2 linked regions of the Macaca mulatta genome follow. Each later gene encodes a partner of the first gene's protein in a complex. Links are inferred from orthologs where the notes say so. Each region holds a gene or a part of one and is shown on either strand. Other genes may lie near its edges.

What was found.
Region 2: the proteins of ITGB1 (region 1) and FERMT2 are in contact, whole or in part, in a crystal structure (PDB 8TEE), measured with the Mus musculus proteins. The link is inferred for Macaca mulatta from reciprocal best matches to the Homo sapiens genes ITGB1 and FERMT2. Residues at the interface, in NP_034708.1 of Mus musculus: Ala786, Val787, Thr788, Thr789, Val790, Val791, Asn792, Pro793, Tyr795, Glu796, Gly797; in NP_666166.2 of Mus musculus: Phe609, Ser610, Asn611, Met612, Lys613, Gln614, Trp615, Asn616, Val617, Asn618, Trp619, Glu620, Ala629, Asp630, His647, Ile654, Ser657, Thr658, Lys674, Leu675, Ser677, Gly678.

The regions. Positions count from the first base shown.
Region 1 is NC_133414.1:34,342,049-34,346,416, forward strand, and holds the start of ITGB1 (integrin beta-1), read right to left. Parts: upstream 2,912-4,368; 5' UTR 2,790-2,911; intron 1-2,789.
Region 2 is NC_133412.1:125,994,810-125,997,638, reverse strand, and holds the end of FERMT2 (fermitin family homolog 2), read left to right. Parts: coding exon 1-9; intron 10-1,052; coding exon 1,053-1,226; 3' UTR 1,227-2,252; downstream 2,253-2,829. UniProt on the Homo sapiens protein: Scaffolding protein that enhances integrin activation mediated by TLN1 and/or TLN2, but activates integrins only weakly by itself. Binds to membranes enriched in phosphoinositides.

The sequences.
Region 1 (4,368 bases):
AACAGATCCTAACTCTCTCGTAGAGTGAGAAAATCTGCTAAAATCTGACAAAAGTCCAAATGAATCCTTTCAGATATATGTAGCTTGTTACATACTCAGAAAAGTTAAGTTCTCGGAACTTGAAAGCTCTCTGAAACTTTTACAAGATGTTTCAGCTTATCACACTAGCAGCATGGTTAAGGGCAAACCAGAGCAGCTACAGAATATTAATGAATATTTTTTTCGGACAGAACACTGTACTACTCCCTGCTGTAAGCCACAACTTACTTATCAAGAAGTCAAACAATAAAGACATTAAAATCAGTGGCAAGCACTCTTAGAAAAACTGGCACCATGTTGTTTGACCACTTTTCATTATTATAGTATGACCATTTGTCCCCAGTGTCACTCCCAGAGTTAGGAAGAACACCAATGTAGAACTACATTTTCATTCGTGATGGTAATTTGGGGCTGATTTAAATTAAATTATACTGACCAGAAAGCTAAGAAGAAAGCTGCCTAATTGTTAAAATTACTAAATGCAGTGACTTTCAGAATTGTTGATTCCATGCATTTCATGTACAGAATGTTGAAGGTATTCAAAAATAACTTTAATACAGAACTTTACATTGTTAGGAAAATCACATAAAATTGTAGGTCTAGGTCTGAAGTCAACATAGATGAGTTAAACAGTCTATTTGCTTCCTTTTTACAGAATTAAGCTATTAACCACATTCTTTGTCCTTTTAGCTAGTATTCTAATAACATCTTCCACCTTCATACTCAATTTTGGGATAAATAAAATGGCTTTCCCCCCAAATGCCTGTAATCAAAATACCAATGTTTTTTATTTAACACTTCACCATCTTCAGTCACTTATATAATATTGATCAATGAGCCAACATTATTTAAAAATATGAGAATTACAGTGAGACTCTAAGTCCTGACCCCTCTGGGCCTTGATGTCCACAAATGAACAGGTAACTGCCAACTAAAGTTCCTTAATCATTTCTAAAAGTGGCCTATTGTATACCCTATCGTAAAGGGCATATGTGGTTTAAGAAAGATGTCTAAATTCCTCTAGAACGTTATTTTTGTAGCATCAGAAGTACAATAAGAAAAATAATAATAACCTAAGGGCCAGGCTCAGGGGGCTCAAGTCTGTAATCCCAACACTTTGGGAGCTCTAGGAGAGAGGACTGCTTGAGCCTAGGAGTTTGAGGCCAGCCTGGGCAGCATAGTGAAATCCTGTCTCTACAAAAAATTAAAAAATTAGCCGGGCATGGTGGCAGGCGCCTGTCGTTCCAGCTACTCAGGTGGCTGAGGTGGAAAAATAACTTAAGCACGAGAGGCTGAGGCTGCAGTGAGCTGTGATAGCTCCTCTGCACTCCAGCCTGGGCGACAGAGACCCTGTCTCAAAACAAAACAAAATAACCTAGCAATTCTATCCACCTGTTATCCATGTGGCATGTTGGCCCAAAGAAACCTTACTAATGATGTTACCAATTACCTTCCGAGAAATCTTTTTACTATAAAAGAAGGGCTGAAAAGCAGTCAATATTCATTGAGCATCTACTCTCAAGCTAAGTGTTTTACATTTTGCATTTGATTTTCACGACTATAGTTAGGAAGGTTACTTTTGGTTTAAACGTAGGCTCTGGAGCTAGACCCCATGCCTTCTCCAGGAGCTCCCGATGACCATATGCAACTTACTTTTTGCTCCCGGTGCCTCCGTTTCTTCACTCGGAAAATGGAAATAGAAACAGTAGCAATCTCATTAGAGCAGTTCCAGAATTAAATAATACACATGAAATGCCTAGAGCTAAACCTGGCCCTCGCTGTCATTGTTATAAAAATGAATTATTAGTGTAGGTAGTATTGTTCCTATTTCACAGATGAGGAAACGGAAGCTTAGAGAATGCAACTTACTAATGATCATACCAATGAGTGCAAAGCTTTGGACTTAAAAGCACGAATTTGATTAAATGAAAGTTACTTAGAGAGTGGGAGTCTCATAAATCCAATTTATGAAGCCTAAGAAATGACACGCGGTAAAAATGATACTAGACACAGGACGGGCTCTCAGGCTCGCGGACCGGGTCTGAGCGCAAAGTGGCCGTGGCCCTGTGTCCTGGTCCCGGGGTGCCCGGCAGGGGCCGGCGACTCTTGACTTCCCGGCATTCGCGTTTATAAACACCGGGAAGTGAACTGCACTGCCGCCGCCGCGCCCCCGGTCCCCAGCGGCTCCGCGAGGCCACTTTCTATCCCGGCTCCAGTCGGAGAAGACCAATCCCAACAGCGGGCGCCGACGGCCGGCTCGACGCTGCTCCAAAAACAGCAGCCAGCGAGGGAGCGAGAGACAAAGGCGCAGGACCAGTCCAGGGGCGCGCTGAGTCCTAAACGCCGAGCCCCGGGTGGCCTCGCTGGCTCCCACCTGCGCTCGCCCAGCCTGGCGGGAGACCGCAGGTGTCAGGAGCCGCTCAGGCCCGGTCCTCCGCAGCTCCAGCAGCCCCGACGTGACAGCGCCCAGGCCCGCGACCCTAGCGCTCAGAACGCGGCTGGGCCGACTCGGCGCCCGGACGCTGCCAGCGCCTGGGACCCGAGGGGGGTGGCGGTGTGCGGACTTCCTCCCGGACTAGCCTGGAATCCCGCCCCAGCCCCCACCGGCCCGCGGCCGCCCCCGCCCCCGCCCCCACGCCTGGCACAAAGGTCCCGGCGCGGCCCGGGCCGGCGGCTGTTAAGTGCTGTCGCGCACAGCAGACCCGAGGCCGCGGCCTGCACCCCCACACCCGAGGCCCGCCGGCGCCTACCTTCTCCGCGCGGCGTCCGGGCCCCGGCGCGGTGGGCTCCGGCCTGCTGTTCCGCGACTCCCGCTCGGCCTCTCCTGCGGGCTGGCGGGACCTCCCGAGTCTCGGGCGCGGCGGGTGGCGGCGGCTCCTCCTCCTCAGGGGCGGGAGGAGGGGACTCGGCGGCCCAGAGCCGCCCCCCGGCAGGAAACCAGCCGCGGCCCCGCCTCCTCTGCGCGTCTGATCCCGCTCCCGAGGCCGCCACCGCCCTCTCCCTCCGGAAACGCATTCCTCTCCCGCCGCGTCAGCCCGGCCCCGGGGCGAGGAGGAGGCGCAGGAGGAGGCAGGAAGCGCGACCGGGACAAAGGAACCGGCCCGCTCGGGAGCGCGCCTGAGGGAGGCCGTGGAGGGCAGGGCCGGGACTCCGCTGAGACAGTCGCCATGCCTCAGTTTCCTCCTCTGTGAAGGGCGGGAGGGGTCGGTTGCGCCCTAAAGCCCCGCGCGTTCCTGGTGTAGCCTGCTGGGCCCGTGTTCTTTAAGTTCCGCTTCCTCGGATCCGCGTGTCCGACCCTCCCTCCCGTTTGTCCACTGATGTCCCGTTTAGAGCCCGGGAGGTCCTGATTCCCGGAAGCCCCCTCAGTCCCGAGGCAAATCGGTACCATGAACCCCCCATACCCTGCAGGACTCCATGGGGCCAAAAACCACGTGGTCATTCTGGAAGGGAACTGGCTAAGCCAGGACTGCTTTTCTGGAGTGATAATGTGCTAGCGTGTGTCTAAGAGAAAGATGAAGACTTGGGAAACCCGTGGGTGCCACGAAGGGTGGTGGGACTGGGGAACGTTTTAGAAAACCTGGTGAGTTGGGTCCTGCTTTTGATAGATTTATCTGGAGGTCCCTTTATGGGGAACAGGGATGAGAAGGAAAAGTTTCTTCCTACGGAGTAAAGTTTCTGTTTCAAACCTCTTTAAAAAAGAAGAAAAAAAAAAGGAGATGGGGGCTGGAAACAGAACGTTTGAAAGAGAAGGAAACATTCATTATGAGAATGGCTGGGCGCATGTCGATTCGATGATTGAAGTTCGTACCAACCAACATCATACTGAAACCCAGTAATTTCAGTATACGCTGCTGGCAAGCTGCTATCCTGGTAGCAGAAAATGTTGTAGGTTCCACTTGGTGAGCTGCAGCACCCTGTTGGGAAAAGAGCTCAAAAATTACCAGATTTATGAAACTGAGAAGAATCTTGCAGGAGATGAGGGGCTGGAACGCCCATTTGGCTGCTGCCAATCTAAAATATAAGAGAAAATGAGGCGATCACATCTAAGAAAATTTGCACATTACTTACCAGCAAAATCAAAACTATTGGTTAGCCAATGTCTGCAGACCTCTAGGAAATAAGCACTATTTTTCCCGCTTAATGGATGTTCAAGCTTAAGAGGCTAAATGATGTTCCTATGTTAATATCTCAATGGTCAAACTGCCATTAGAACACAACATTCTTGAATTTTAAAGGTATGGATTTTACCATTGTTGAGAATTCATCAGAATTGGCCCAGTCTCAGCACAGAAAACTGTATAGTTCAAAAGCATAATTGGTCCATGCCTG
Region 2 (2,829 bases), on another chromosome or scaffold:
ATCAAAATGGTAAACTCGTCACAATGTTACTTGAATATAGTTCTTCTGATACAAATTAGCATATTAGGAATAAAAAGGCCTATAAATTCTGATGATTGTTTGTACCACCACCTCTTAAAGTACAGACAGACCATGGTTGACTATTCATTTCTCACTTAAATTTGCCTATTTCATAATTAGCCCAGTTACTAAAATTCTAAGCATATAATTTGCTTAGAATGTTGCCCTTTTTGTCTTTCTGTAATGGATAAAGCCCTTCTACTCCGAAATAGCAACTACTATTTGTTGAATGCCTACCCTGTGCCAGACATGATACTGGAGGCTTACATTAGTACCCCATCTCAAAACCTCATCACAGCCTTTTAAGGTAGTTGGATTACCGTACGTTACAAATGAAGACACTGCAATATAGAGGCTTGAGGGCCACCATTGTCTATGACCACGCACAAAGTAACTACAGAGTCATTTCAAACTCAGATGCTTTAGGCTTAAAAACCTGGCACATTTACCACTGTACATCATGTTGCCCCTGGTCTTGGAGTACACAAATATCATTTAAATTGAACAATCTTTTACTAATAAGTCATTTGGTTTAGGATCATATTGGATTTATTGTATCAATTCATGTTACTTCAAAGAATCTTATATTTCTGAAATACTCAAACGTGATACCTAAAGTTTAAATAGCTGAAGCAAATATTAAAACACAGGAAGGAGGCTTTCCTCCAGGACTTGAAGAGAGGCATTCTCGTTAATTGAATCGTCAGAGACCATTTGAGAACTGAATGACCTAAAACCCTTGCATTCCTAGTCTTCCTTTTCAGAACATGAAAACTTAAAAAAGGGTAGGGGAAGGGCAATAAACTTAACTTCTTCTTTGGGACTTAAAGGCATTACTAGTTTAGGTTTTAAACAGACTAATTATTTGAGGATCAACAAGTGTTTTCTGATGGGACCGGCTTTAAGTAGCGCAGTAGTTGTGTGAGTCGTTTTGTGTGGACCCCGCCACCTGGCATTCGGGACAGCACTGATGATTCTTGTCTTTGTTCCAGGTCACCGTAGAGTTTGCAGATGAAGTACGATTGTCCTTCATTTGTACTGAAGTAGATTGCAAAGTGGTTCATGAATTCATTGGTGGCTACATATTTCTCTCAACACGTGCAAAAGACCAAAATGAGAGTTTAGATGAAGAGATGTTCTACAAACTTACCAGTGGTTGGGTGTGAATAGAAATACTGTTTAATGAAACTCCACGGCCATAACAATATTTAACTTTAAAAGCTGTTTGTTATATGCTGCTTAATAAAGTAAGCTTGAAATTTATCGTTTTATCATGAAAACTTCTTTGCCTTACCAGACCAGTTAATATGTGCACTAAACAAGCACGACTATTAATCTATCAGGATATAATAAACTTGAATTTGGCACACATTCCTTAGGGCCATGAATTTAAAACTGAAATAGTGGGCAAATCAGGAACAGACCATCACTGATTTAAGCTAGCCAAACTGTAAGAAACAAGCCATCTATTTTAAAGCTATCCAGGCCTTAACCTATATGAACTCTATTTATCATGTCTAATGCATGTGTTTTAATGTATGTTTAATTTGATATGTTTTAAAATATCCTACTTCTGGTAGCCATTTAATTCCTTCCCCCCACCCCCAAATAAATCAGGCCTGCAGGAGGCCTGATGTTTAATAATGTCATTGTGTTTGACCTTGAAGGAAAATGCTATTAGTCTGTCGTGCTTGATTTGTTTTTGTCCTTGAATAAGCATGTTATGTATATTGTCTTGTGTTTTTATTTTTACACCATATTGTATTACACTTTTAGTATTCACCAGCATAATCACTGTCTGCCTAAAATATGCAACTCTTTGCATTACAATATGAAGTAAAGTTCTATGAAGTATGCATTTTGTGTAACTAATGTACAAACACAAATTTTATAAAATTGTACAGTTTTTTAAAAACTACTCACAACTAGCAAATGGCTTAAATGTAGCATCTCTGCATTAATTAAATGCCTTTAAGAGATATAATTAATGTGCAGTTTTAATATCTACTAAATTAAGAATGACTTCATTATGATGATTTGCCACAATGTCCTTAACTCTAATGCCTGGACTGGCCATGTTCTAGTCTGTTGCGCTGTTACAATCTGTATTGGTGCTAGTCAGAAAATTCCTAGCTCACATAGCCCAAAAGGGTGCGAGGGAGAGGTGGATTACCAGTATTGTTCAATAATCCATGGTTCAAAGACTGTATAAATGCATTTTATTTTAAATAAAAGCAAAACTTTTATTTAATAGTTATTTTTGTACTTGTTTTTAATGTTTACATAGTATCAATTTAGTAGAAATGAACTTCTGCCTTTTGGAAATGCTTTGCCTACATGTTGTTATTTTGTGAGAACAACGGGTTAGTATTCCACATCATCGCCAGATAGACACACTTTATCTCAAAGATAGTCTTTCGCCTCGATTGAAAAGCCCTCATTTTCTTAACACTTAAAAATGAATGTGTAATACCTAAATGTTAGAAATGTACTTATAAATAGAAGTTGGCTGTGGCAGAATTTGTTTTAAATAACAAAATTATTCTTGTTTTACAAAAAAAAATACGTTTACGAATTTACTGCCAGTCATTACTGCTGTCATCATTCAAGACTCAAGACTTTTTAGTCCTTTACCCTTTGCATGTAGACCAATTCCTGATTTTCCCCTCACACAGCCTTGCATCTTTTCTCTTGTTATTGCTGCCACCATCATCCAAATTCAGTTCTTTGTCCTGTGCCTGCTGTAGTGTGGCACCATCTTAAGACAAG